Linked DNA regions of Coturnix japonica. The protein of the gene in region 2 binds, or shares a complex with, the protein of the main gene of each other region. Links are inferred from orthologs where the notes say so. Each region holds a gene or a part of one and is shown on either strand. Other genes may lie near its edges.

The links.
Region 1: TAF10 (region 2) and TAF13 share a complex: the UniProt entries of both Homo sapiens proteins name them as parts of the TFIID basal transcription factor complex. The link is inferred for Coturnix japonica from reciprocal best matches to the Homo sapiens genes TAF10 and TAF13.
Region 3: TAF10 (region 2) and TAF5 share a complex: the UniProt entries of both Homo sapiens proteins name them as parts of the TFIID basal transcription factor complex. The link is inferred for Coturnix japonica from reciprocal best matches to the Homo sapiens genes TAF10 and TAF5.
Region 4: TAF10 (region 2) and TAF3 share a complex: the UniProt entries of both Homo sapiens proteins name them as parts of the TFIID basal transcription factor complex. The link is inferred for Coturnix japonica from reciprocal best matches to the Homo sapiens genes TAF10 and TAF3.
Region 5: TAF10 (region 2) and transcription initiation factor TFIID subunit 4-like share a complex: the UniProt entries of both Homo sapiens proteins name them as parts of the TFIID basal transcription factor complex. The link is inferred for Coturnix japonica from reciprocal best matches to the Homo sapiens genes TAF10 and TAF4.
Region 6: TAF10 (region 2) and TAF11 share a complex: the UniProt entries of both Homo sapiens proteins name them as parts of the TFIID basal transcription factor complex. The link is inferred for Coturnix japonica from reciprocal best matches to the Homo sapiens genes TAF10 and TAF11.

The regions. Positions count from the first base shown.
Region 1 is NC_029516.1:74,708,683-74,713,896, forward strand, and holds TAF13 (transcription initiation factor TFIID subunit 13), read right to left. Parts: upstream 3,147-5,214; 5' UTR 3,041-3,146; coding exon 3,014-3,040; intron 2,922-3,013; coding exon 2,843-2,921; intron 2,754-2,842; coding exon 2,656-2,753; intron 1,328-2,655; coding exon 1,157-1,327; 3' UTR 709-1,156; downstream 1-708. Other genes in the region: GTPBP8 (GTP-binding protein 8), read right to left, coding at 4,750-4,834, 5,062-5,180. UniProt on the Homo sapiens protein: The TFIID basal transcription factor complex plays a major role in the initiation of RNA polymerase II (Pol II)-dependent transcription.
Region 2 is NC_029516.1:173,985,114-173,990,344, reverse strand, and holds TAF10 (transcription initiation factor TFIID subunit 10), read right to left. Parts: upstream 3,020-5,231; 5' UTR 2,977-3,019; coding exon 2,781-2,976; intron 2,543-2,780; coding exon 2,394-2,542; intron 2,302-2,393; coding exon 2,237-2,301; intron 2,149-2,236; coding exon 2,034-2,148; intron 715-2,033; coding exon 625-714; 3' UTR 547-624; downstream 1-546. Other genes in the region: TPP1 (tripeptidyl-peptidase 1), read right to left, coding at 3,153-3,293, 3,412-3,549, 3,792-3,950, 4,040-4,160, 4,257-4,329, 4,406-4,594. UniProt on the Homo sapiens protein: The TFIID basal transcription factor complex plays a major role in the initiation of RNA polymerase II (Pol II)-dependent transcription.
Region 3 is NC_029521.1:20,669,156-20,673,611, reverse strand, and holds the end of TAF5 (transcription initiation factor TFIID subunit 5), read right to left. Parts: intron 4,301-4,456; coding exon 4,171-4,300; intron 3,479-4,170; coding exon 3,314-3,478; intron 2,901-3,313; coding exon 2,723-2,900; intron 2,600-2,722; coding exon 2,422-2,599; intron 1,832-2,421; coding exon 1,614-1,831; 3' UTR 301-1,613; downstream 1-300. UniProt on the Homo sapiens protein: The TFIID basal transcription factor complex plays a major role in the initiation of RNA polymerase II (Pol II)-dependent transcription.
Region 4 is NC_029516.1:3,777,523-3,781,978, reverse strand, and holds part of TAF3 (transcription initiation factor TFIID subunit 3), read right to left. Parts: intron 3,367-4,456; coding exon 1,544-3,366; intron 1-1,543. UniProt on the Homo sapiens protein: The TFIID basal transcription factor complex plays a major role in the initiation of RNA polymerase II (Pol II)-dependent transcription.
Region 5 is NC_029526.1:9,439,121-9,443,576, reverse strand, and holds part of transcription initiation factor TFIID subunit 4-like, read left to right. Parts: intron 1-1,788; coding exon 1,789-1,961; intron 1,962-4,456. UniProt on the Homo sapiens protein: The TFIID basal transcription factor complex plays a major role in the initiation of RNA polymerase II (Pol II)-dependent transcription.
Region 6 is NC_029541.1:4,152,036-4,157,263, forward strand, and holds TAF11 (transcription initiation factor TFIID subunit 11), read left to right. Parts: upstream 1-2,076; 5' UTR 2,077-2,189; coding exon 2,190-2,381; intron 2,382-2,457; coding exon 2,458-2,588; intron 2,589-2,696; coding exon 2,697-2,784; intron 2,785-3,122; coding exon 3,123-3,219; intron 3,220-4,254; coding exon 4,255-4,385; 3' UTR 4,386-4,992; downstream 4,993-5,228. Other genes in the region: ANKS1A (ankyrin repeat and SAM domain-containing protein 1A), read right to left, coding at 1,562-1,782. UniProt on the Homo sapiens protein: The TFIID basal transcription factor complex plays a major role in the initiation of RNA polymerase II (Pol II)-dependent transcription.

The DNA.
Region 1 (5,214 bases), about 99 Mb from region 2:
GAACTTGGAATGCCTCTAAGTGTCTTGGTACCTCATACACTGAGTTCTATTAACAAAGGAGTAATGATCTTATTTTTGTAAACATTTTTGTTGTTCTTTTTTATGGAACAGTGTTCAAAACAGATGAGTAATCTGTATCCTTTTTACCCAGCCTTGTCCAGGGACAGCAGCTTGGAGTTACTTCCTACTCAGTGCCTTTTCTCTCCTGTCCTGAAAAGGTGTTAACCAAATCCTGCTGCTTTGGAAACAGGGCAAAGCACAGTTGGAGCCCGCAAGAGTAAACTTATCTGTGAACAAGTCCCCCAGTGTCCTGAAGTCTTTTCAAGTGTGCAGTTTTTGCCTGCTTGGCAATGTGTAGCTATTCCAGCACATACTTATTCCTTGCTCTAACATTATTTCACAAGCTTAGTGCTTTCCATCGAGCTCTTATTTGTAATTACCCGGTGATCCTAATCTTGTGAAAAAAGTTCTTTGAATTAAGTCAGATCAGTTTTATAGTGGAGCATCTGCCCAACAGGGGCAAGGCAAGGATCTGAGTGCAACTAAATCTGGAACAGGTTAATTTCAGTTCTCTAAGTGTACAGTAAAAACAGGAGAGCTGTGTCTACTAGGACAGAAACAGCACTTAGAGCTCATGAGATGCTACAATAGCCAACAATTTTTATGTGCCCTGCGTTAACTGATCAGTGTACGTGTAGTTACGAAGAGTGGGCACAGACTCGAGTTGCTTTATTCAAGTTTATGTACAGAGCAGAATTTGTAATAGTTTGGGCTTGACAACTTTGTCCAGTTAACCAACATCTATTTTCCAGGTTTCCTGTCAACAAAATACCTCGACATAACCAAAGTAGAGAAGAGCTTGTCATGGGCCTTGTAGATTCCCAATTCAGCTGTCCTACTGCAGACTTCTCACCTTTAAAATATCTTTAGAGCTCATTTCTCAAATTCCCATAATGGTATAAAAACACGTTAGGAGCGCCATGTGTAATCAGTTAACATCTAGCTGTTTGAATGCCTACCACAAGAGGCTGAGAGGCAGAGCAGATAGCAGCAATGATCTCCAGCTCAAATAACCCCTCAAAGCAACACACATGACATTTCTTCCTCTTGAGCAACAGGAGCCCACAGCACGCTCCAGTCAAGCCTGTACACAGAATCAAGATCCATAGTTTGCTTCATCAAAGGCCTTTCTGGCACGTTTCAGTTCTTCATTCATAGTCAGAAGGTCTTTAACTCTGGCAAACTTCCGGGGGTCCTTGCGGATTAGGAAGACAATGTCCTCAACCTGTACACGGCCCTGCCGTCCAATTGACATGGCTTTGTGTGTCTGCAAGAGAGAAACATCAGTGTTCCTCTGCCCCTTTTAGTTTTGTTTTCAGATCTCAATCCTACTGTATTTACTGACATTTTAAACAGTCTAGAAGGCAGCAAGTGCAGGATCTGGGCATTGCCATCCAAGTGCAGTACCTCATATACACTGGGTACCACTGCACACACAACAGGAATGTCTTTGGAACTGAAGGCAGACTGGGGAGGGGACACCTGATCTGCAAAGTGCTTGAGGAGCAACAGCATCAAGCAGAATCTGCATGCAGTATGCAATACCTGCATCAGAGGACAGTTTTTTTCTATTGAGAATAGGCAAGGCTAACTTCTCATGAGAAGGGATCCACAAACAATACCACTTTTCTTATTCTTTTTTTTTAACATAAGTGCTCAAGTTGTATCCAAATGTCTGGATCAGCAGTGGCTTTAGGGCCCAGATGGCTGCATTTATTTTATGGTGTGGCATTTCCATCTGTGTAAAGGCACTGAGAGAACACAAGAAGCACATAACATTTCAAAGCTGAGCCATCTGTCAGCAGAACACACAGCGATGCCACTGGGTGCCTCAAAGTCAGCTATGGATTTTTTCCCCTAACTGTTACTTAAAGCCTCCGAACGTTGCCCTAAATCCATGTGGAGTAAAATGTGTTAATTCTATCTTAATATCGGAAGGGCAATCACAGAATCACAGAATGACCCGGGTTGGAAGAGACCTCAAGGATCATGTAGTTCCAACCCGCCTGCCTGGCAGGGCCACCAAACATACACCTTTACTAGATCAGGTTGCCCAGGGCCCCATCCAACCTGGCCTTGAACACCTCCAAGGACGGGGCATCCACAAGCTCCCTGGGCAGCCTGTTCCAGGGCCTAACCACTCTCCTAGTGAAGAACTTCCCCCTAACATCCAACCTCTTATATCTGAGTTTAGATTTCTTCCCAGCAGCACACGAGTTTTTGCCTGGGATAATGCTGAAGGAATTTCATTGAAGCAGAGGGAGCCAAAGCATGCTCCCTACACCAGGTTGCACAGGTAGGAGTCCGAGTGGGTCTTGAACAGCTCCAGGGAAAGAGACTCCATAATCACTCTGGGCAGCCTGTTCCAGTGCTCCGTCACCCTCTCCATGTAGAAGCTCCTGCACACATTTGTGTGGCTCCATGCTCCAGTTTGTGGCCATTTCCCCTTGTCATATTGCCACATGCCGCTGAAAAGAGTCTGGCCTCATCCCTTTGCCTCCCACACCTTAGATATTCACAGACATTGATCAGATCCCCTCTCAGTCTTCTTTTCTCAAGGCTAACAGACCCGTGTTTGGCACACCACTGACTTACCATTTCAGTGATAAATTCTATCACCAGGTCCTCAAGAATATCCACAGATTCCGTGTAAGGGTTCTGGTCATCTCCAAATCCGTACATCATGCATCTTACTGCGGGAATACACACAGCGTGAGGCCTCCATCTGCTCAATGCATCAGTAACGCTCCCACCCTGAGCTCCCCCCCCAACCTGGACTCACGTTCTTTAGAGAAAAGCCTCTTCCTCTTGCCCTGCCCGCCGTCCAAACCGCCGCCGGCTTCCTCGGAGTCCTCCTCGAACTGAAGGAACAAAGCGGAGGAAGGAAGCCGTTAAACGGGGAGCTCCCTCCCGCCCCGAGGCTGAACGCAAACAACCCATCCCCGCCGCTCACCGGCGCGTCCTCCTCCTCGTCCGCCATGGCCGCCACAGCCCGCTACCGCTTCCGGTTTCCCGTTCCCGCCTCCCCTGGGGGCCGCCATCTTGTTGTGCCGTGTCTATAGCACCCAGGCTGTTTCCCACCCCTCACTCATCTAGTGTGAGAAATGCCTTGGGAACTTAGGCTATTCAAAAGATTTTTTCCTTAGGAAGACGAAGGAGAGGAAGAAAAAGGTGCAGCTGAGGTACAGGCACTGGAGAAACAAAACTTTACTGGACAGCAGAGTCAAGAAGAATCTATGGAGCACTTGCTTAATTCGATTTTATTTATTGCCACATCTGTCACAGAGCTTCCAAATCTTGCACATAACAAACTGAGGCCTTGAAGATAACAGCTTGGACTACACTGATGCTTTTGAAAGACACTGGTTTTAAGATACAAACACACAATTATTCCCAAAACATTGACTTGAGTGTTTTCCACCTCTCTAGATCCTACTGTATTTATTTCTAGAATCAGACACTCACAGGCCAGTTTGCTTTGGTGCATTTTGGGATTAGAAGCAAAACGGTAGCATGACATGCTTGATCTCTGCTTACATGTAGAAACTGGAGATCCACATCTCCCTGCTGGTTTCTTCATCCTGCCACTTCCTACATATCTGCTGGAAACAAACTTCAAGCCTAATCTGAGAGTTACAGGACATTCCTTAACGTAACAAACAGTAGAAACACCACCTTCAAGCCTCAGAGTGGGTTATGAAAGAATCACTTTTCCTTGAGATATAAACATTTAATGTAAGTTAACCTCAGCAACTGTATACGCAGAATTGGCAGTCTTAAGACAGGACAAGATGTGTGCCAGAGTGTGACACAGGCACTTTATTAGCTTTGGTCTAAATTGCTGTGTACAACTACTGCTATTTAATGGCAGTCCTTTTTGTACATTCTGTACCAGATGTGGTTTCCCTTTGACCTTAGCCAGGTACAGTGGCTGCAGGACCTCTGTGTTGTGCTTCAGCTCCCAGGGCAGGACAGATGTAGGTAATGGACCCATCTCTGGTAACTGAGCTGAGCGCAGCTGCAGAACTCACGTGGGATTTAAAACAGAAGGTTCATGCAACACTGAGTGATGATCAAGTGCAGGAGGAGAGAGTTCTGCTAGGTGTTGTTCATTCATCACCACTGTTTCAAGCCAACAGCCAACCAGGAGGCAGATCCCATAAAGTAGGTTTCCTTTTCCACATCTGCCCGTAACAGGGACAACCAGATGTAGACAAGCAAGGCATGCCATGCTATCACGCTGAACCTACGGAATGCACAATGCAGAGGAGTTACAATAGTGAAAAAAATACAAGTTTCCAAAAAGCTTTTTGCAAACAAAGCATTGACTGTTTTCACTCTGGACAGCCTTAGAGCAGGCAGGGTGCCCATACGCTCATTTAAACTGCTAGGTGTCATTCAACTCAACAAAGCAAGTACCTGGCTTCTCTCTGGAGGTTCTCTGATTATTTCTTTTCCCTCCCTTGACACAAACACATAGGTTTTGTGTAGTACCCAGGATTCATTCACAGTGATTAAGAAGTTTATTAAACAAAAAGCTCGCCTTTACAAACATTACTTTAGCCAAAAATTTATAAAAGTTTATCCAAAAATAATTGTGGTGCTTCAGGTTCTTACAACAACAATCCAGACCTCTGGTTTTGGTACCTTTTGTTCCAGATGAGCTGAGCAGATCAGGAGCCAGACTTCTCAACTGGACTCTACACTAGGCAGGTTTCCAGTAACATGGGCTACAAAACACCTTAGCAAGTGGACTCCCGAAAACTCCACAGAACTGTGGAAACAAAGGTATGATGTTCAGTGCTTGATGCTACAGTATCTTGAAGCAAGACAAGCAAACTCAACCACTTAAATTACATCCCCACATTGCAATACAACATTAATAGAGTAAGCACTTCTAATGTAATCAATTATAGCTAACACAGTTCCAGGTGAAGGTAGGTTGGTCAGTGCAAATCATCATCTACAAGGCACAGCAGCAAGAAAAAAAAAGAGCATTACCTGACCAGGAATAGCTGAGGAAAGCATCCCTGGGTTTTCTCCTTTACAAACTCCTGGATCCCCAGAACATTCTTTAACAACAGTCCCCTGGAAGCTCGGTCAATTTTTGTTAACACCATCTGTGTGGATCCAGAAAGAAAAGATTGCGAGAGG
Region 2 (5,231 bases):
TTCCCTGCTAAGGACAGCAGGGGAAAGTTGCCTTTTTGTGCCCAGCACCACCCCAGCTTCGCGCTTCACTTTTTATCATTTCCATCCAGGCCACGTGGAAAAGCCGCCAGCATCTGAAATAAATATTTGTTATGAAAACTGGCCACGGGCCGAAGGGTGCGTTGATACCTCAATAGGCTGCTGGGAGAAGGGCTGCCCTTGGCACATGGAGCCCTGGGCGCTGGAGCTGCTCTGTGCCAAACCCAGAGCGAGGCAGAGGAGCCTGGCTGCAGCTGCAGCAGCCGTCACAGCCCCAGAACCTTCCTCTTACGAGACATGCTACAGGGAAAGAAAGCACAGAGGAAGCTGGGCGCTTCTGTTTGCACGATGCCCACAGCCCTGCAGCAGCTCAGGGCAGGCTGAGCCCTCCAGGAGATGCAGCTGCAGTTCCCTGCTGTGCAGCCCTCAGCCATCACCTTCTGTTGGTGCTGGCAGAGCAGAACTCCGTGGGCCAAATGCTGCTGCTGCACTGACAGCAGGAGGGCGGCAGGAAACGGGGGGTCTTTCCACCAGAAAAAAAACTACCCATTGGTTTAATGGAGCAGAAGCAAACCCTAGAAAAGTCCCCAGCAACGAGCCCTGCTTTCACGTGAAGTAGTGCGGCTTCTTCACATTGATGCCGTATTCCGCCAGGGCGGGCGTCAGGTCCTCCATGGTCAGAGTGTATTTCTTGTCCTGGGGACAAAGGGCAGCATCACTCACAGCACAGACACAGCACAGATAGATACATCACTCATAGCACACAGACACAGCACAGATACATCACTTGTAGCACAAACACAGCACAGACACAGCACTCATAGCACACAAACACAGCACAGACACCTCGTGCCTTCAGCCCTTGGTTGGGGTTTTGACCCTCATTGGAGCAGTCCATGTGTGTGTGATGCCCAGTGGCTGGGCATTAACCAGCACCAAGTGCCTGAAAGCTGCATCTGCTCTTTGCCCTCCACAGCAGAGAAACGCACTGAGCATTACTCAGCGCATCTATTGCACTGCCCCTAAGCCACAATTGGGGCTGTGTGGATTCCAGAAGCTATTTCTACACGCTTCCTCCCTTTATCTTTTTCCCTCAGCGTTAGTTTGGTGCCATCAGGGCTGGGTGGCCCTGCAGTATCTCCATACACAGCACTGCCCACCTCCTGCCCACCACGCTCCCTCCCATTTAGTCAGCACACATCAGCCTCCCATGAGGTTCAATAAGGACAAGTGCAGGGTGATGCATTGGGTTGGGGCAACACCAGGTGTGTGTACAGACTGGGGGAAAGTCTCCTTGAGAGCAGCCCTGCAGAGGACTTGGGGGGTGAGAAGCTGGATATGAGGCAGCAGTGTGTGCCTGCAGCCTGGAAGGCAACTGTGTGCTGGGCTGCATTTAAAGGGGCGGCCAGCAGGGACAGGGAGGGGATTGTCCTCTTCTACTCAGCTCTTGTGAGCTCATATCTCAGTGCTGAGTCCAGGCCTGGGGCCTCCAGCACAGGAAGGACATGGAGCTCTTGGAGGGTCCAGAGGAGGCCACTGAGATGAGCAGAGGGGCTGGAGCAGCTCTGATATGAGGAAAGGATGAGGGAACTGGGCTGGTTTGGGTTGGAGAAGAGAAGGCTGCGGGGAGACCTCATTGTGGGCATCCAGTACTTGAAGGGAGCGAATAAACAGGAGGGGGAACGGCTGTTTGTGAGGGTGGGCAGTGATAGGACAAGGGGGAATGGTTTGAAAGTGAGACAGGGGAGGTTTAGGTTGGATCTGAGGAGGAAGTTTTTCCCCCAGAGGGTGGTGACGCACTGGCACAGGTTGCCCAAGGAGGCTGTGGATGCCCCATCCCTGCAGGCATTCAAGGCCAGGCTGGATGTGGCTCTGGGCAGCCTGGGCTGCTGGTTGGTGACCCTGCACACAGCAGGGGGTTGGGATGGATGAGCACTGTGGTTCTGTGCAACCCAGGCCACGCTGTGACTCTGTGACCCAGGTCAATGCCTGGCAGTGCCCCCCATCACACCCACCTTGCTCTTGTTGCGGGAGCTCCCCGAGGCCGTTCCCTTCATCTTGCAGTGCTGCAGCGCGTCGTTGGCGATGTCAGAGATGAATTTCTGTGCGGCCAACGAGATCAGCCGGATGCTGCGGGCACAACAACGGGCGGGTGGGCGGGGATACGGCACCGGGGGTCGTTCCGCACCCCCCCCCCCCGGCCGCCCTTTACACTCACATGCGCGGGTCGGAGGCCTCGAATCCCGCTCTGTTCAGGTAATACCCGGTGACGGCGTCCGGGATCTGCAGGGAGAGCCGCGCTCAGCGCCCGGTGCTCAGCACTCGGTGCCCGGTGCCGGTGCCCGCCCTCAGCGCCCGCCCCGCGCCGCTCGTACCGTGGGCGTGTAATCCTCCAGCTGCAGCAGGAAATCCACGAGCGGCGTCCCCGACACCACCGGCTTCACCTCCCCGTTGGCGGCGCCGGGCGGCACGTAAACGCCGTTGGACATCGCTCCTTCGGGCGGCGCCGCGGCCGACACGGGAGCTACGGGAGGAGGCGCTCAGCGGGACTCACGGCACCGCACGGTACCGCACAGCACGGCACGGCCCGGCACCGCACGGTATGGCACTGCAAAGCACGGCACAGCACAGGCAGGCCCGGTACAGCACGGCCCGGTCCGGTCCCTCACGGCCTGGCACATCACGGCCCGGCACCGCACGGCCCGGTCCAGCCCGGCCTGGTCCATCACGGCCCGGTCCCGCTCTCCCCTCCCCGCACTCACCGGGTCCCCTCCCCGCCGCCGCTCCCCCGTCCGCTCCCCTGGCCGCTCCTCCTGCCGCACTGGGTGGCGCCCCGGGGACGCCGCTGCCGCCCGCGGCCGGGCTGTGCTTGTTGTCCCCGGTGGTCCCGGTGGTCCCGGGCGCTGCGGGCGCTGCGGGCACCGCGGTGCCGGGGTCGCTCTCGTTGCTGCAGCTCATGTCGCCCCCCCCGACGGCTCCGGCCGCTCCGCAACGCGCCTGCGCGCGACGCGACGCCCCCTCGGCCCCGCCCCCTCCCGCTGCCCATTGGCCGCCCCGCTCCCGTCCCCGCTCCCCATTGGCCGCCCGTCCCGTCGGTCCCGCACACACGGTTCGTATCGCGGCCTTTATTGGCGTCACGGCGCCGTGAGCGCGCGCAGCAGCTGCGGGAAGTTGGGCGTCCCCCACCCGGTCACCGCGTCCCAACCGGGAACGGCGCAAAAACCGCGGCCCTGAACCGCAGCGTCCAGACACGACACGTGGCAGCCGACGGTCACCTGGGGACGGGGCGGGGTCAGCAAAACCCGACCGGACCGGACGGGACCGAACAGCCCGGCTGGGACCGGACCCGCCCCGCACCCCCCGGGACCCCCCCCCGCCCCCCGCCCCGCTCACGTCGAACAGCGCCGCGCCGTGTCCGCGCTCCCGCAGCCGGTACAACGCGGGGTTGATGAAGCCGAGCGGCGGCTGCCCGCCCTGCAGGCGGCGGTCATTGATCAGCGCCAGCAGCCCCGCCACCACCGGCGTCGAGGCCTGGAACGAACGGGGCAACGGGGGACACGGCTCAGCGCCGGGCGGAGCGCACCGACACGACGGCACCGGAACGGGACCCGACGGCACCGAACCGGGACCCGACGGCACCGGAACGGGACCCGACGGCACCGAACCGCGACCCGACGGCACCGAACCGGGACCCGACGGCACTGAATCGCGACCCGACGGCACCGAACCGGGACCCGACGGCCCCGAGCCGCGCCCCGCCGCCCCGCGCTCACCGACGTGCCCGACACCCAGGGCAGCGGCAGCCGGTTGGTCACCACCCAGTAATTGTCCGACAGCGCGGCCAGGTCGGGGTAAGCGCGGCCGCTGCTGTTGTAGTAGGAGCCGGGCGGCAGCTTCGGGGCGGAGCGCAGGAAACTCCGCACCGCATCGGCCTGGGGGAGGCAGCTCCATCAGCTCCATCAGCCCGATCAGCGCCGGCACCGGGGAGCCCCCCCCGCGGCCCCTCCGCCCCCGGCCGCACCTGGTAGTCGGGCATGGGGAAGACGTTGCTGAAGCCGCCGCCGCTGATGTAATCCGTCACCTCCTCCGTCACCAGGAACGGGTTCTTGAAGGACGTGCCGCCCACCGTGGTCACGTAGGGGCTGAGGACGGGCAGGTGCTGCGGACCCCCCCAAACCCGACCCCCCCCCGGGGCTCACACCGCCCCGCAGCCACGAGGAGCCCGGGGCCGCCGTTACCTCGAGGCCGGGAAGCTGGGCCGGAACGTGTGGTTCCCCCCCGGCACCCTCCGGCACCCGGCACCGTCATCACCTGCGGGCAGCCACGAGTGATGGGGGCGCCCGGAGCGCTGGGCAGCGGGACGCCCCCGGCCCCGCAGCTCACGCACCCGAAGCGAACAGCACGGTGAGGCCGCGGGCGGCCGCCTTCATGAACTCCACGTTGACCCGCTGCAGATAGGCCTGAGACAGGCTGTCCTCGTCGTCCCCGTAGCTGACCGAGTGCACCCAGGGCAGCGCCGACATGTTGCTGAGCAGCAGCAGCCACGCCAGGAACGGCTCCTGGCTCTCGTGCCGCCCTGCGGGCACAAAGCAGCAGTTCCAGGGCGGATCGGGGTCACTGTGCTGCCCCAGCAGCGGCTCTGACCCTCCTGCCCCTGCCCGTGGGTGCAGAGCTCGGTTGGATGCTGCCTTGAATTCCCATCAGCAGAGCAGCTGACGGCAGCACGGCAGGGATGGCTCTGGGACCAGCACCAATCCCTGCCGAGGCCCCTCCTGCCCCTCTCCCCTCTCCATGCAGTGTAGGGCAGAGGGTCCCAGACTCCCTGCAGCTGCTCAGAGTCTCTGTCCTCTTCTCACACTGCAGGCAGCACAGAAGAGACCTGCACACAGGGTCTGTGCACCAGCACACATCAACAGGACAGAGCACACGGTCCCGGTGCACTCAGCCCCCGGCCATCCTCTAACATGGACAAACTGCTGTTGCACAGCACCAGCACATACTGGTTTGCAGCCCCCTTCCTTCAAACTGCCCTTCCCCACCCCGTGGCAGATTCATGGCCAGGTCAGCTCTGCATAGAGAGGGAGGGGAGTGATGTGATTGCTTCACACTGCAAAGCCAGGGCAGGTGTGCAGCGCTGCAGGGCACTGCGGATGGTGCACAGTCACGTATCCTAAAGCAATGGATGATGCCTCCTGTGAGAGCTGTCAGAGACC
Region 3 (4,456 bases), on a different chromosome or scaffold from region 2:
TCCATCCTTAATTTATTATTAAAGCCATCCTTCTGAGTAAATGTAGTCTTTCCATTCTGTTTACATCAGCCTCTGCCCTTTATGTCCTTCCAGAGGAACAATAGTTGTTGTAACTGTAATGCTTGGCAAAAATGTATCACATACAATTAGAACTAAATCTTAGTTAAATCATCAGCTGTTGAACTAACTCCCTTGTTTCTCCAAGCAGAGCACTCGCTTTTAAAAGCATTGCTCTCACATCCACTGCAGCTGTCAAGGAAAGAAAGCATCTTCTTCCACCATACAGTCTACAGACACAAGCTGTGTGGTTTTAGTATTTATTATACTATCAAAAGTATAAAACTGTACAAAATAAAAAGGCAGAATGCAGCAGTGTTTTCTTCAAGCTCTCAAAGCTGTACATGCTTTTAGGTAACTTGTTTGATTCACTACCATTTTAAGTCCAGCTGATCGTATTGACTACTAGGAAGTTCTGATGTACCTTTACAGATCAAATCCATCATAGTTTAGTTTTAACCATTTCTCTTTAAAGAATGTTTCTGGATTAGCTTCCTTATGAATTTTCCACCTTTCCTTTGACATTTAATGCCCCGATGCCTCTTTACTCCAAGGCTTAGTCAGAAAAAGGATGAGACAGGAGGTAGTTCTTTGTTTACCTTGGAAACGTCAAGTCTTGGTTTTCTGCATCTTCAGTAGAGAGCCAGCAGATTTCTTTTTCTTGAATTCAGATTTCAGTTTCTTGATCCTTCACTAGCTTTAGTGTGATCTGTTAAACTGTTTTCTCAAAGGATGCAGGTTTTTGAAGCTCTTCAAATCTAATAGAACGTGTGGGGGCTTAAGAATATTGTTTTTAAGATTGGGTGATGCGTGTCTCCAAAGAATTCACATTGCAATCTGCGTTCCTTATCGCACAGCAGCAGCTTCTTGTCAGAACAGAATAACAAGATCTCCATTTCTAATACCTCAAAAGAGCACAAAGTTTGAAATCTTTTCAGGACTTGGTACTTAAAAACTACACGTAACTTCTCTGCAGTTCCCCACAAGCCTCTGCCTGTTGGGCTTATTCTTTCAATGCCCTATTTGTTGCTATAATATTCTCACCATTCCTGTTGCCCAGCCCAGGCTATAGTGAGTTAAACTACATTCTCCTTTTCTGAGTCTGAAGTTTTCACCTGTGTTTGAGACTGATTAAACATTAGCAAACCATATATTAAGTGCTTTAAAAAAACTCATTTGAGAACACAGACCAGGGCTGTTAACTTTCCAGAAGTTTCAGCAGAGCTCAATACCATCTCTGAGAGGAGACAGCCATTGTCATATATATACATGTATGTATGTATATATATACATATGGATACATTTATCAAAAGCACCATGAAACAATTCCTTTAAATTCACACTGTCTTGTCAGTCTCCAGCATTTTCAAACTGTGAGAGCAAAAGATGTGAATTACGAGAGCAGAATAGAGAAGATGTCACTTGAGTTAGTTTACAGTTTTGTTTTTCCTGCAATGGACTAACAAAGTCCACCCATACAAGACATTCCTCTTCATCTCACATTCTGAGGTCACTGCTGCAACAACTTGGCACAGCCAGTCTTACGTCTTCCTGATCTACTGTGAACTGTAGGCTCCTGCAGCCAGCAGCAAGTTCCTGCGTGTAAAATGAAGGTGTACAACTGGAGTTGATTTGGTCATGTATGTACCCAGTAACAAGTCCTGGGAGTTTTCAGGCAAGTTTATGTGTCCAGTGGCTGTAGTAAAGTCATCCGTTTCTAAGTCTTCAAATGCTTTCACTGCATCCCACAGCCGAACTGTGTTATCCATTGAACCTACAAGGGAAAAAAGGAAAGTAACATTTAAAAGTCTTTTCCTTGCTAGACAGCAAATTAACACAACAGGAATTAAAACTCACAAAGCAGAACAGCTCATAACTGAATACTAAGCACTCATCCTGCAACGAAGCATTTTTAAACAAGCCTTTAACACAGTGAAAGCAGGAATAAAAGCCATCACCTGCCATCTAACAGGAATGCACTGCAGATAAAGTGCCAAGAAGCACCTCTGAGAACAGCTGGGTTTCCATTCTATCAGCCAGCACTTGAAAAGGCAAAACAACCTTAGGCCTACATGCCAACTCCACCAGATGTTTATGATTCTAAGTCACATAATGACTTTTTTCTTGACACTTGGATACTTCCTTTGATAGAGGGAAGAGCTCAGTATTTTGCAGGCCCAGTGGACTCTGCTTTCATTGGAGCACTGGTCAGCTGAAGGAACCATTCACTCTTGTGGTAGCGGCTCACTCAGGATTTAGTGATTCTAATTAGCCTTACTCAGCTTAAGGTACATTATCATTACATAATCCCACTTCAAACAGATGGAGCACAATGGAAACATGTTTGCTTCCAGTGACTTTTACCTGATGCTAAGATCTCCCCATCTCTACTGAATCGGAGCGCATAGATAGTGTCAGTGTGCCCTTTCAGTTCTCCAACCATCAAACCATGTCCAATATCCCACAGCAGAACTCTGCCATCTGTTGCTCCAGTAGCCAGGAATCGTCCATTAGGAGAAAATGCCAATGAATGAATCGGACCCTACAAAAGACATTTGCAGTGAGGAAAGCCAAACGAGCTAATTAGTCAATCTGCACTTGTTCTGAATGCTACTCTTCAGAATCACACCACAGAAATTAAGTCACATTGGTGATGTGCCTTTACCTTATGTCCAGTGAATATTCTTACACAATTCCCATTTAAAACATCCCACAGCCGTACAGTCCTGTCTGCTGAGCCAGTGGCAATATAGTTGGAGTTAGGGTGAAATCGAGTACACGTCACATCAGCAAGGTGGCCAGCAAATATCCGTAAAGGCTGGTAATGATCTGTTGCCCACAGTCTGAAAAGAAAAGCTTTGTTAATAAAGGGAGCACTAATGAAGTTCAGAATCTGTTGCACGGTAATAAAAGAAATAATTAATGAGTGGCTTCTTACTGGTAAATTTGTTGAATTAGAAGGATCGATTCTGGAAAACTATGCTTTTGGGAAGGGAGAAATAAAGGACATTCTGTCATGGTTATTAAACAACAGGAGAAAATATTTCTAACATGAAATGACCACATAGGAGGATGATGTCTCTGATGTGTGTTGAAAAGGAAAACAAACATATATTAAAATAGTTGCTTAGTATTTTAATTCGTGTGTAATAAAATTTATTTCCAGTAATAGGTTATTAACTATATCAGCCAATAATCACTTTCTGAGTTAATTCACCACAAAACTGGTATGTAGAAAACTCATCTAATTTCTTACCTAGCCACTCTGTCATGTCCCCCCGACACAAAATAATACCCATAAGGAGAGAACTGCGTATCCCATACTGGATAGTTGTGTCCTTTATATCCCACCAGACAAGTGAATGTTTGGAGGCTCCACAATCTGACAGTACCATCCTCAGAACAGGACAACAGGTAGTTCCTGTCACAGGAGAAAGTATAGTACATTACATACCAAGTTAACAGACTGTGTAGTCATTGCATAAGCTCTGTAACAATTCTATGATACATAGAACTCTCCACTGGGCAGCTACTATTTAGTATTTCCCATTAAAATCAGCATTTTACTGAAGTAAACAACAATAAACTGTTCGGGAAGAACTGAACCCTTGGTTGTCAAGCATAAGAGACATTTGAATGTTGATGATTAATTCTGATGACACAGCAATACAGAGGGGCTGCAAAAAAGAACTAGTCTTCACTTAAGAATTACATTCACATGCGGGGGGAAAAAGCAGTAGATTGCTACACTATATTACTTTAGAATAATCTTAATGCAACTCTAAACTATATGGTAAGATTCCCTGAATGTGAACTCGGTATGAAATCTTTTTCTTAATTATTAACAAATTATGAATAGACTCTCTATATAGACTATAGGCTGTATATAGATTCTATAATCATGTTCCACACAAAGCTTACTTCTCAGCTGTATTTCTGTGATGGTTGTCTCTTGTGTAGCTTACATAATGTTTTCAAATCTCTTATTTTAAAGAAGATACAAGAGTTACTTTGATCTTCTGGTAAAAGCCGCATTATAAACACGTTCACATTCATAGCACACTATTAAGATTCAACACAAGCGAACTAATTAGCTTGTAAACTTTATTTTACCTATCAGGACTGAAGCTGGTGCCATAGACAGGTCCACTGTGACCGTATAAAATCTTCAACTCACTTGCAGTTTTCTCATCCATGATCCTCTCCAAGACATCGTCTGATTCTTTGTCAATTAGACTGAGGTCTGCAAGATTTCAAAAGTTCACACATCATGACAACTGTCAGAGGTTCATCAAATGCCATGAAAACAAATAGCATTTTCCCCAAAAGCAATAAAAAAACTCATAAACAAAAACACCTTGAAATAGGTAATGGTGAAATATAAACAATGGCACTTAAA
Region 4 (4,456 bases), about 170 Mb from region 2:
CCAAGCAACTTATCTCTATTTTATATATGTGTACTTAACTTAAAGAGAAACGTCTGCAGAAATTCTCAGTGAGATACTGACAAAATGCCTCGAGCGTGAGGGGCAGAGAGAAAGCTGCCATGTAGACAAAAGGAGGAGTCCATGCAGCAGCTTTGCTGCAAGCTAAAATTCAGACATTAAATTAACAGGGACAGCCGGAGCACCACCCTGTCAATCACTGATTCATCCATGGCAGACAAATGTTAGTTTTCCAGATCACCTGGATTCTGCACTGAAAATCCGTTTTCCAAGTTAAAAAGCTGGTATAAGTTTTGAAATCAGCATTTTGTTTCAAGTCTGCCAGACAGCACACCAGGGTACCATCCCTCACAGCATCGAAAATGGATAGCGAGGAATATCCCAAGTCTGAGCTTGTACAAAGTGAGTATTATACTCAAAGCAGAACGTAAAGAATATCTCTGTAAAACCAGAATGTAAGCGGTGCTTCCTAATGCTAAGGATAGAGATTTAAGAAATCCTGCATCCAAGGTTATCAGTATCCAAGACAATCTCTTTCTTTTCTGCTCTTTTTTTTTCTTTTAGTATTAACAACTGAATGCACAATATAAGTTTAAGTGACAAAAAGTACAGCAAACCTTGAATTAGGGAAGTCATTTCTAATGGGATTTAAAATCAGATAACATGCAAATATGCTGGTTTCATTTTTTATATATTAAAGATATTCTCAAGATTAGGTGATATTGGAAAGAAGGAACTGTCCGTGGCTGATATAAACCAGTAAGAGCTACAGGAGAAGAAGCAGCTCAGTCCATTTGAAAGCCAGGTCTCCTCCATCTCAAGCTTAAAAATCAAAACAAAAGGTGATATTTGAATATTCAGAATATGCATTTAGACTACAGGTTGAAAACAATTTTCTTACTTCTGTCTAACTGGAGCATGAAGGCTGAGGTCTTCCTAATAGAGGATTTGGTAGCTCTACTGGTACACAAATGATGACTTATTCTAGGGTGGTCTGCTCCTCATTTATGGCCATCCAGTAACCTACAGACTTCTACAGGCTTTGAAACAGTAAACTTCTAGAAACTGTATTTGAATTTTATATGAAAGGCTGTTGGCCTCACTAGAGGAAATCCACAGAACAAAATTTGGGCATTGCAACAGAGCATACATTTGTTCTGCATTTTGCCACTGAGTGTAAGTCTTGGCTTTCCAAAGCGAAAAGTGAGTTGAGGAAAACCAGAAATCTCACGTAAAACCAAACCAACCCAATTCAAACCAAAATCAAGGCAAGATCTCATATTCCAAACTCACAAAATTGAGCTTCTATTCTTTTGCCTCCCAAAGAAGTAGGGTAATACCTGAAATTTCTGGGGTGCTTCTTACATTGAAGCAACAAACAACACTGGTTGTTTGTTTGTTTTAAAGTGTATGAAGTCTGTGGTCACATATCTTCTGTATCACATATGCTTCTCAGCAGCAAATTCAGGAATCCATGTGCACTTGTCAAACAATGATGCCATCTCAGCTCTTTTAAACAACTCACCTTTTCATGTTTATGTTTCTCTTTTTCTTTCTCCTTCCTCTCTCTTTCCTTCCTCTCCTTTTCCTTATCCTTCTTTTCCTTTTCTTTGTCTTTCTCCCTTTCTTTCTTTTTCTTCTTCTCTTTTTTGTCCTTCTTCTTCTCTTTTGGTTTTTCTTTGTCCTCAAACAACTTTTCAGGAAGCATAGGAGACAAGGAAGGTAACATGCTGGGAAGCCTCATGGCAGTTGGTGTGCTGAACAAGGGCAAAGACATTTCTTTGGGAGGTAACACAAGAGGTGCTGATGGGGGCTTTATCTTATCTTCCTTACTCTTATCTTTAACTTTCTCTTTGTCTTTCTTATCCTTGTCTTTTTTACCTTTCTCCTTCTCTTTCTTCTTATCTTTATGTTTTTCTTTCTCTTTTTTGGTATTGCCATCTTTCAACTTTACTTTTGTGTCAGCATCCTCAAAGTCTTTTAGTTTGAATTTATAGGGATCATGTTCATCATCTTTGAGAAGTTCCTTCCACTGAAACTTCGCCTCCTTGTTTCCTTCCTTGTCTTTATCCTTCTCTTTGTTTTTTTCCTTCTCTTTGTTTTTCTCCTTGTTTTTCTCTTTATCTTTTTCCTTCTGTTTCTCTTTCTTCTTCATTTTTGTCTTCAGCTCTTTCTTCAGTTTCTTTTTCACTTCTACAGAGGAAGCCAACTTGGTTTTCTCCTCATAGACTTTGAGAAGAGGTTCTGGAGTTGGCGGTGAAGCAGAAGGAGAAGAGAAGTAAGTGAAGTTTGCAGGTGGATTAGAAGGTGTCCCCATGTTTGCCTTTCGAATGACTTCATCAATTGAGTCATCCATTGTCCATGAAATGTCTGAACTCGAAGTCCCACCTGATGGAGGTATCGGAGTTGCTCCTGCCTTATTAGAACAATTAGCAGAAACAGAAGGTTTAGGAGTTGGAGTTGTAGTCTCTGAAACAGAAAGTCTTTTTGGACTGGTAAAAATTTCCCCTTCTGACTCAGAACCAGAGGAAAACTCAAAGGGATCGGGTTCTCGCTCAGCACACGCACGAGCAATCACAGCATCTATTGAATCATCAATAGTCTTGTCCATCACCGGTAATTTCTTAGTCTGGTTTTCAATATTTGGCTTGGTCACAGGCTCAGGTGGTGTCTGTCCTTGTTTTACTTGAATGTTTTCCTTTCCTATTTTGTCACTTAATGCAGCCAGAGGGGTTCTGCTTGGTGTTTCAGGTTTAACAGGTGGCGGGGGGACATGAACGGGAGCCTTTGGACTTTTGGGACTTTTGGGGCTCTTGGCGCGACCTGGTGACTTTTTTTCTTTGGATCCAGTTTTTGGTGAACGTATGGGACTTCCAGCAACCACTGGTGAGGGGGTAGTTTTAGGTGATTTTGTCTTTTGTCCTGGAGAACTTGATTTGGACTTTGTTTTGGGTGCAAGTGGCTTTGACTCTAATGTCTTGGGGGCTGGCACTTGTGGTTTTGCAATGGGAGCCAACATTGGTGGTTCTGGTGAAGGAGGGGCTAAGTCTGAACTGTCCTGAACATGAACTGGAGAAAGCATCGGAGGTACTTTTTGAGTATTTATTGAGCTAAGAGGCTCACGTGGTTCCAAAGCTCCATCCAGAGCGTCTCCTTTAGAAACAGACAGTTTTGGTCGTTTCATGGGTGGAAATTCTTCAGCATCAGGACTTTCTAATGTTCTCTTGCTCAAGTAATTTTCATCATTAATTGCCTCGTCCTCTTCCATATCTCCTTCTTCTTCCAGTGGCACCTGCATGGCCTCTGCAGATGTACCTCCATCTGTTGGTACTTGTTCCTCTTCCTCTTCTGTAACAAAGAGCATTTTAAATAAGCATTAGGGATAATTCAAAATGTGTTTTACAGAAACAAAAAAGTATCAAAAGTTCACATGCATTTTAGCTCTCATATGTTACCTCCTACATTAACTGTCCTTAAAACCACTTCATGCCAGTCTACTTGAAAGAAAAGTGAGGAGCTTCTTCTGGATCATAGCATCCACTATGTGTACATGTAAGTAAAATCCACTGGAATTAGCGGTCTTGTTTAAATATCGTAGAATTTTGATGGCGAATTAACTACTAGGAAGATGTCTTCCTAAACTGGATTTGTTTTTCTTGAAGTGGCTCAGCTAGAAGCCATGGACTGAATTTTGTTCAACCTGCTAGGTTCTGTTTCTGATTCACCTTAAGAGCTTGCTGTATGGTACACTAACTGTTACGATTACATGGGAGCACCCCTGTGTCAGCATGTATGTGTGCTGGTTTGGATCAGGAGCACAACTTTGAAATTCATCGCCCCATCACCCTGCTGTTTTTTTGCATCATTGAGCAATTCTGGAGAACATAAGCTGGATTCCTTCTTTACTGAAAGCGAAATGAAAGATACGCTGCCAAAAGAATACACCTAATGCTTGAGTTGCAAGTAGGCACTTAGGCTATGGGACCAAAAAAGCCAACTTTTTGAAAATAAAACAAATTCCGAAACATGAACGGTTATGAACATCAGGCACTATTTCAAGCCATCATGGACATCTCACGTATCGCTGCTCTGCTTTTGATAAATCATTTTGTTTTTCCGTTTCAATTTCTCAATTTTTCCTACATGTACCACCATCTTCAGTCTCACACGTGTCATATTATGGTGTAGAGAAGGGAGAAAATTCACTCAATATCTCCCAGAAAATCCATGGCAAGTTTGAGAATGAGAACCTCTGATCTCCTGAACCACAGCCAAGCACTTTATCCTCTTGGCTACACTTCCTCACTTTTAAAATGGAATTATTTAAGCAGGAAAAAGGATTCTAGGTCTGGAATAAGAACGTCCGCACGGGAGTTAAACTGACACATTTACATTGCTTGTAATTACGTCATTACATCCATGCTGGTTACATTCCTAT
Region 5 (4,456 bases), on a different chromosome or scaffold from region 2:
ATCTTTGTGTCTGTAGAAGCAGTTATATCTGCAACTTTTATTGAAACCATGTGGCTCCTGTTGCAATTAATTTGTACATTCTGTTCATTTATTAATTTTTTTAAAAATTCAGATTGAATTTTACAAGGTTGGAAAAGTAATTAACAAGACAGATGTGAATTGGTGTAATGCCAATAGAACGTGTTTTTTTTTTTTTTTTTAATATGTGCTAGGCTTTATCCTATAAGGATTTTTCTATTAGGTTAATGACACTCAGAGGAATGGTGTCTGTTCTGCACATTGGGGCAGTGTATTAATATTGGTTTGTCCAGAACAGCAGATATCCAATGCAGCATCTGCCTGTGGGGTTTCTACAGACCATTAGGTCTGGTGCCAGAAGGGCTGATGCACCCAGAAAGTTCCTGTTTTAAGATCTGTTGTTGAACTCTTCTTTTAAAACTTCATCAGGCTTTGAGGGAGATGTGATGTATCCTTTGGATGAGATCCTCACAGTAGCTCTGTGTGCTTTTGGCGTTACAGCTCAGTTCCCACAGCTCTTCCGTTCATAGTGGCAGAAATGTGTTTTCTGTTTGTGATTTTTGTGAGCTGGTGAGTGAGGGCTTCTATTGCAGCTGCAATTCAGTTGTGTTCATCATGAGACTGGGCTCTGTGGTTCTGTGTCAGAGACTGAAATAAATGTAAAGACTGCTTCTGAATTTGGTTACTTGCTGGATATAATAGTGCTCAATATGTTTCAAAATCTATTTACCGAGGTTGTTTGTTTGTTTGTTTCTGGGAAGCTGATACTTAGAAGTGAGTATACGTTTTTACCTTCTTTATTTTCCATTGCAAAGTTATCAAATGTGCATGAAGAAATCTACACATATAGACAAGTTGCAGGAACAATGTCTCCTGGCTCTGTTATTAACAGACTGAAAGAGATTTCCTAGACCCTGAAAGACCTGTTCCTTCTTGACAGTATCATGTATCCTACTTGCATCTAAGTTAGATTGGAATGTATTCGGAGACTAACTTGGAAATTCTTTTTAAATAACGTATCTGGATAATGGCTTCTTAGTTCTGACTGATCTAGAAAAAGCACATTATGTGCTTGTAGTGATCTTGAATTAAGCGTAAAGATCCAGGTGACCCAGGGGCCAGCTGAGCCATTGGAAGCTCCTTTTTGACCTGCTGATAATGGAAAAGCAGGACAGTTACAATAAGGGAAAGTCTGGATGTGTAGAGAGGCTTTTATTTGTGAAGTGTATTATGAGAAAACAAAAGTATTTTCATTTACATCCAGAAAGTACTGTGTTCATTTAGAACAATTCCTTGGGATTTTCCTTAGATCCCCATGCTCCTAGTTGCGTTGGGTCTCTGGGTGTGACAGTGTTTTTTCTTCACGCCCAAACCTCCTGGTACAGTGATGGTAGGTGCCAAATAAATTAATGTGTCAGTGCTGAAACATTAACTAGATCTCAAATATTGTATACTCAGGAATGTGTCTGGCTTAATATTTGCATCTACACATTCCCTAATGCTGTTGTTTTAGTAGAGCTTTCTTGTCATTGTCCCTGGTATGTTCAAACTAAATGTTGTTCTCAGCAACTAGACCGTTGTTAGAGTTTACTTTAATGACTATTTATTTCAACTTTAATTCTCCAAACGGGACAATGCTATTGTTGATTTTATTCTGTATTTCATAGTTCTTTATGAAATATGTGATTCTTTATGATTCTTATGAAAAATGCAATTCTTTATGATTTGTCATGTTATTCTTTACAGTTGTTGTCACTTTATTCTCACTAGGTATGGTCTTGGTGCGCACAGATGCTGGACAACTTGTGATGGTGCCTCAGCAGGCTCTAGCCCAGGCACAAATGCAGGCTCAAGTACAGACACAGGGACAAGGTCCTACCAGCATTTCGCCTCGACTTTCAGTGCCCACAGGCGGCCCAGTTTTTCGTCTAACAACAACTCAGGTATGTCTGGCTTGGTTTCACCTTGCTTTTGTGTGTGTGTTTCATTCTCCTCTGTCATCTCATCTCATACATTATCAGTTCTTTGACAAACATGTTTCTCGAAGACAGAAATTGGTTTGGAATGTGTGCCATTGACTTAGTAAATGACATTGTTCCCTCTGTGAGTCACTGTGATATTCCAGCACAGTGAATGGATTTATGTGATCACTAGATTTTACTAGAAATTAGAAAAGAAAAAGCAAAGCACTTTCTGTGCCAGAATTCACAGTACTTAAATTTCTGTAGTACACTTTATTTGGAAGAAGGATTTGATTCCTTTGATTCACTTCTGGATGTGATTGGTCTGCACTTAAAGTTTTGTCTGTGTTTTGACTACATTTTACTCTATTTTAATATGGATTGACAGGATACTGTGCTTTTCTACCCCAGACTGTTTCAGTGGAGAGTGTGGAGTTTGTGTATTTATTTATTTTCAATTACTTTGTATACTTTTTTGGTTTAAAATTCTGTAAGGATGCTGTTCAGCTTCAGACTATGTATGGCCACTGCTTAACTGTCTTACTAAGATGTAGAGGCAAGTGCCTTCAGATGTGTAGGGCTGTTGTGCTGTGATAATTACTGACAGAGTGAAAGGAAGTTTTGCCTAAGTTCTTTGTTTATAGAAGAGATAGATAACCCTAAATGAAATGGGGTGAAAAATATACCTTTATAATTTTCGACTGATTCTTGTGTAGCTTGCTTGAAGTATCTTGAATGTGTGTTTTCCTGTGTTAATATTTGATTGCTATCCCATTATATGCTTTGTGTTTTACACCCTGTTTGTAGTTTAAAAGATTGTTTAGTCAAAAACTAAAAACAGTGATAAACTTTTCAGAAGAGAAGGAAGCCAGAATAGAATTGTATAATTGAAAATGAGGTAATCTAAACCATAGAGCAGCCAAGTAAAATGCGAGTTTTAGATGTGAATGTAATAGGAGTAATGTGTAGTTCAAAAGAATGTATCTCAAGAAGAACACAAAAGCCTGGAAACATCTGATAAACTTAATGCTGTCAGCAAAAAGGGTAAGCACAGTATTAGATGGAATATTGTAAAAGAACTCTGCAGGAAAGGCAGCTGGTTAATATCTAAATTCGTGATATCTGGAAGGGTAAGAAGATTTGTAAAAATCCTTCAGAGATAAGTGTGAGATGTCAGGAAAATAAACACAGCGACAAGCCTATATTGATTTCCAGTTGTTTTTTTGTAACTAATTTGACACCAAAAAAAGTCTGGACAATGTTCATTATTTAGTTTGTATGTCTGTCATTGGTTGTTTGCTTTCTTGTTTTGTTTGTTTGCTTTTAAAATAAATGCTCCACTTTTTACATAGCACACACTCTAGGAATGGATTCTGAGATGAGCGTATAGTATAAATGCATAACAGATCATGGGTGGGACTGCACCAAGAATATGACCTCAGTCTGTTAAAATGACTTAGGTTTAGTTGCTTTGGTTTCATACTGTAAGTTTTTGTGCAACTTCAATTGCTGTGGCTAGCATTCAGAATTAAATTGGCTGCATGTGTTCAATCTTTATTGTAAGATTGGAATTTTATGTGTGCACAACTGATGTTGGGAGTTGATCACATTGGCCTCGGGCAGGTGTTCTCGAGTTATGTGAAGCTGTTAAGATTGTGGAAATAGTGTAATCTGACTTGTTGGGTTTTTCTGAAAATTAAGCTCTGAGGATGCTGCATGTTCATGTGGTGGCAGAGATGCTAAAAATCTGATGGAGGTAGTTCTACTATTAGGATGATGTAGTTATTTTTCTACAGGATTCTGACCAGCTAGATAACCTGCAGAGCATGATAGATATCTCTTTATACGTATTGGTGTTAATTAACAGCTTGAGAATAGGGGCTGGCAAAGCCCTAGGAATGGTAAATGCCTCACAGCATACAATAGTTTGGGTATTTTTAAGGTGGTGGGATTTGAGTCATGATATTGTAGCCAGTCAGGATTCATCTTCTTTGAGAGACCTGTGTGCCTCTAAAAAAAAAAAAAAAAAAAAAAAAAAAGTGGGGAAAATAAATAAATGTTTTAAGTGTTCTTAAATTGAATTGACTTAATCAATAGATTAAGTTGTTTGGGAGGGAAAATTCCCGTGACTTCAGCAGCTGTGCTTATGTCCAGGACGGTCTATGAGGAAGAGCCAACTTTCTGTAGGAGTAGCAGAAGAAAGCGTAGTTTAACTTCCCTCAGGATTTAGCATATGAGCTTAGTATAACTCTTTCCTTTGATTAAAAAACAAGCGCGTGTTGCCTTGCTGAAGGGTCAGAGCTCAAGTATCTCCATATAAGAATATTTTCCTCCCTGTGTAGAAAAGTATGTATTGTGATTGCAGTGTCAAACAGAAAAGTTCAGGAAAATTGAGACATGCAAATTCCCATTCATCCTACAGTAACCTCTTCAACTGTGCAGCGAGTTACAGTCTCTGTGTGATAAATGCACAAAGA
Region 6 (5,228 bases), on a different chromosome or scaffold from region 2:
AGCAGATGATATCTGGCTATAAACAGGTGAGCTGTATCCTTCCAAGCTGTATCCTTCTAAACACACAGAGCACAGTGATGGCACAGCTCAGAAATGGGCTCAAATCCTCCCATCCTACCCCCAAACTACTTGCTCAGGGAACAGAATAGAGCTGGAACTGCAAAAAAGCTGCAACATAAGAAACGCAGCAGCAAGTGGCTTCTTTAGGAGATACCGGATGGGAGAAAAAAAAAGGGGGAGGAGAAAATACTAACACGTAAAAGCTTCAAAACAGAGTGAATTGCACAGCATGGTCCTTTAAATGCAACAGCAAAGGAGCGTGCCCTCCTTCTGGGTGCCCGTGAAGCTGACCCTGAGCTGCCAGCCACTGTCAGGCTGAGCTGTGGTGGAGCAGCATCGCTGCAAGCAATGGAAATTATTGAGGGTGAGCACGTACAGAGCACACACAGTGAGAGGACACCTTGCTCAACACCCAGCTGCACATCCAGCCTGTGAATTCACCCACGACCAGAGGAAACACATGCACAGTCACCAGCCCCTGCTGGCACACTGACCCGGAGTCCTGCTCTTCCAAACACACGTCTTCCCAGTTACACCAGTCTGCTGCAACCAACCACAAGCAGCAGCACCTGCAGCAGCCCAGGGAGCAGGCAGAGCCAAAGCCATCATGGGGCAGCACCCAGCCCTGCTGCACTGCTCTCCAACCTTACAGCCCCACCTTGGGGCACAGAACCCCCAGGGACTCTGCTCCCAACCCCTGCAGCACCACAACCTCGGCAACCCTCACACACCCCATGTACCCCACAGTCCATGCAACCCACCACAGTGCCTCATCCCATCCCCTTCATGCACTCCTTTTGACACACACAGGCCCAGACCCCAGGGGCAGCAGTTCTCCATTTACAGTACAGATACATTCATATCCCACTGGGCTCCATCCCACACCATGCCATGGGAGCTCGGACAGCCCCTGTCCCACAGCCCTCCCACCCATACATTCCACCCAAGCACAGATTCCAACCCACAGCATCCCCTGTACCACAATCCCTTCCTCACCCCAAGCACACCAACAGCCAGTCTCAGAAGCCCCAAAATCCCAGCTCATCATTACAAACCCACTATCCCCACACATCTTGTGTCCTCAACAACGCACCCCTATCAACCCCACAACCCCTACACCCACACCTCACCTCAAGCAGCACAGTCCAAGTCTCCCAGCACCCCAACTTCAAGTCCACACACCTTCAATCCTTCTCCACAGCCCTACAGCACCCCAACCCCATGCACCCCACAGCTCCTATAAATCAATGCTCACCTTGAGAGCCTACAAACTTCACACACTGCATCCCCCACAGCCCTACTCTCCCCTCAGCTTTCACCCACAGCTCCCAGCCCCAAACTACCCCCTGTGGGGGGCTCCTACCCCACAGCCCTCACCCCACAACCTTCCCCATCCTCCTCACCCCACAGCCTCAGCCCTGTACCCACCTCTAACCACAGCTCCCCAGCTCCATGGGCCCACCCCTCATAGCCCCCATCCCCCTCATTGCCCCCCACTCACCTCAGCAGACTGGACAGCGGGTGTCCCACTCCTCCACCTCCTCCTCCACCTCCTCCACCGCCGCTTCCACCACCTCCACCGCCCCCGGATCCTCCTCCGCTCCCTCCTCCGCTTCCCCCGGAGCCGAACCCTGAGCTCAGCCGTTTTCCCGACAGCAGTTTCTCCACAGCGGGCAGGTTCCCGGTTCGTGCGGCCTCCAGCAGCTCCTGCTCCTTCCCCATGGCCCGGCCCGGCCAACGCCGCCGCCTCCCGCCAGGCCCCGCCCCGGAAGAACGCTGAGGGGGCGTGGCCTGAGGCCGAGTGGGCGGGGCCTGAGGGGCCGTTTGTTCTCTATTGTGGGCGCGGCCTAATAAGTGGGCCTGGTCTGCTGTAGGCCCCGCCCCTGGTGGATCTATATTCTCATCCCATTTCTCTTCATTATCAAATGGAACTGATACAAAATGACGCGTAGAGCCCGTCAGCACGGCTATAGATGGGGTGGATCCCACCCTGCTGTGCCGGGTCCACACGCAGCTCACAGCTCTGTAGGCCGCACGGCGCTCAGCCCCGTCGCCATAACGACAGCAGCGCCCCCTGTCGGCCACCGTAGCGTGACGTCATCACCAGGCGACCGTAGAGACGAGGCGTAATGGCGGATCCCGGTGAGCCGGGCCGGGAGGAGCGGGGGGGCGGCACCGAGCGGGAACCGGCACCGACCGCTACATCACCACACGGCGGGGATGGGACCATGGAGGAACCGACGGCCACGGACGGGGTTATAGAGGGGGACATGGAGGCTGGAGCCGGCCAGGAGCTCAAGGCGGAGGCGGCGGATGGGGAGGTGAGGGCTCAGCACCGGGTCGGCCGGGAGATGAGGAGAGAACGGGGCCGGTCCATAACGGTGTGTTGTATCGTAGGGGAGGAGCGGGGACGGGATGGACGGGGAGGATCCGAACCTGCAACAGGCGGCAAAGAAGGTGAAGGTGGAACTGAAGGAGAGGAAGGAGAAGAAGCACAAAGTGGACGAGGATGAGATCCAGAAGATGCAGTGAGTGCTGGGGAATGGGCTGCGCTGCAGGGCGGGGTTAATGGCCATGAGCAGCATCAGCATCGTTTGTGGTTCAGCTCTGTGAGTGATTCGTCCTCTCCCTTCCAGGATCCTGGTCTCCTCCTTTTCCGAGGAGCAGCTGAATCGCTACGAGATGTATCGCCGCTCTGCCTTCCCCAAGGCTGCCATCAAACGGGTACGACTTCAGTTCGTGCTTCAGCACAAAGCAAACGGCTCAGCCTGGCCACAATACCCCCCCCCCAACCTCCCCTCCCCAACATGGCTGTGGGGGGACAGCGATGCAAAATAATTGCTAGCACTGATCTGTAGCTGAATCAAACTAATCTCAAATTGTTACAGCTACCATGTGCCCAAAGCTATAGGAGCTCATTCCAAAGCTCTGTTACTGTTGTTTCTGCTCATTTTGTTCACTGGTGCTCAGTATTTGGCTCCAATCACTAAATATAATTTGAAGTGTTTCAGTGTTGCTGCATGTACCTCATTTGACTGACTGCCTGTTCTTTGCTTGTGCAGCTGATCCAGTCCATCACGGGCACCTCTGTCTCTCAGAATGTGGTTATTGCCATGTCTGGCATTTCCAAGGTCTTCGTTGGGGAAGTGGTGGAGGAAGGTGAGCAAATCACATTATTGTTCAGTAAAAAGTTAAGGACACAGAGAGCACATCGCTTAAAGCAGAGAGACATGAAACAAAGCTGGACTTTTGTGGCTTCTTGTCCAGGTGTGCAGCCTGGACAGTGCCCTGCAGGGCCCTCCTGCTTTCAGCAGCAGCAGAAGACAACTGTTAAAACTTGGGACTTCTTGCCCCTACATGAGCAGGCTGCAGTGCTACAGCAAAGATCTCATTAATGCTACTGTGGACAAATTCAGCTTAGAAGGGAAATGCGTTATTTAAGCCTCTTAGCCTGCAAGATTCTTTGTTAATGCAGTGAGCTGAGATCTCCTTGGGATAGACTGTGCAGCGCTGACCCAGTTGTGTCCCTGCTCATGCAGAGGAGGAAAAGATTCTTGTTTTTTGTGCCAGCCACTTAGTACAGGCTTGTCACACAAAACACACAGCCTGGACTTGCAGGGGTTGCCATCAGCCAGGATGATGCAGCTTTTGGCACTTCTGCTGCTTTGACTGTGTCTGCAGCTCTGTGTTGCCAGAGGCAGTCTGGATAAGCAGCTTCTCTGCTGTACTTATTGCTTCGTGTCCTTGGCAGGAGATCTGAATTATACTTAACAGAAGTGAAGCACAGGAACTGCCCTTTAAGTCAGCTGTAGGTGGTTCCTTCCTCCTATCCCTGCTGCACACAAGTCCCCAAACATACTTCACAAGCTAGAAGTGGTTTTAAAGTAGCAGGTTTAAGATGATGAGGCCTTTTCAAGCTCTTGCATGACTTAGTCTATTCCATAGCAGCTGGGACGTGGTTACAAAGCAGCTGATTCTGAGCTGGTATTGATGCCTCAAGGACTAGTTTTTCTTCAGAGAAACACCCAAAGCTGTTTCATCCCTTTGTACAGATAAAACATGAGCTTTGAACACTGTTACCTGTTGACTTTATAATTGAAGTTCAACCAGTGGGAGGCTTTTCAAATGTCTCCTGCTGGGAGAATGGCAGAGCTGAGCTGTCCTTGTTCACGTCAACTCTTGTCCTTTGTTTAGCACTGGATGTGTGTGAGAAGTGGGGGGAGCTGCCACCTCTGCAGCCCAAACACATGCGGGAGGCTGTGAGGAGGCTCAAGTCACGAGGACAGATCCCGAATTCCAAATATAAAAAGATCATCTTCCACTGAAGTGTCCTGGGATCAGCAAAGAGAAGACAAGTTCAAACAAGCTTTGGTTGTGCACCATATGACAGTTATGAGACAGAAGCATTCCCCTCTCCCGCTTGCAGTCTTCTCCAAGGAAGCTGTACCAAAGCAAGCTCAATTCAACGTGGATTTCAGTAACTTCAAGCATCGAGGTCTTATGTGGATTGCTTTCAGTTTACAAAACTACCATGAGTGTTCTCAGCACGGCTCATGGGGCAGAAGGACAGGGAGAAATGCTGCAGCAGAACCTGCAGTTGCTCCCATTAAACTCCCTGCCAGCAGCAGCACATTGTGTGCAGACATTCATGTAGGCATCCACGGGGATGTTTCCTGCAGTAACTGCTGAAGGCCAGTTTGTCAGCTTAGTGCTGTGCAGGCTCAAGGAGGAGGCAGATCCTTGGCCTGGTGCCTCAGGGTCCTCAGATCCAGCAGCCTGGGAAAGGAACATGCAACGTCCTCAAGTGTATTTACCCACCAGCATCGTCCCTTCTGCTGGCACAGGTGCAGTGTTGTCTCTGTACAGAAGCATCTTTTTTTTTTGTACATTAAACTTGTTACTATATTCTTAGTCTCCCTGGGACAGCAAATACTCATTGTGTAATTGTGTTTGTGTGATTCAAAGTAGGGAGAGCGCGCTGCGATCTGTCTCAACCAACCCCAACATGTCCAAGGAGCTTCACGCCTCCGGCATGTATTGCTCCATTACCACCAGCAAGGGAACACACTGAAAACTGATGTTTCTTAAGTCATCATTTGGCTGTTCCTCCCAAAGGCAGTTGTACGGAGCTGCCTAGAATCCATATACAGTCAGGAACGTGAGGAAGG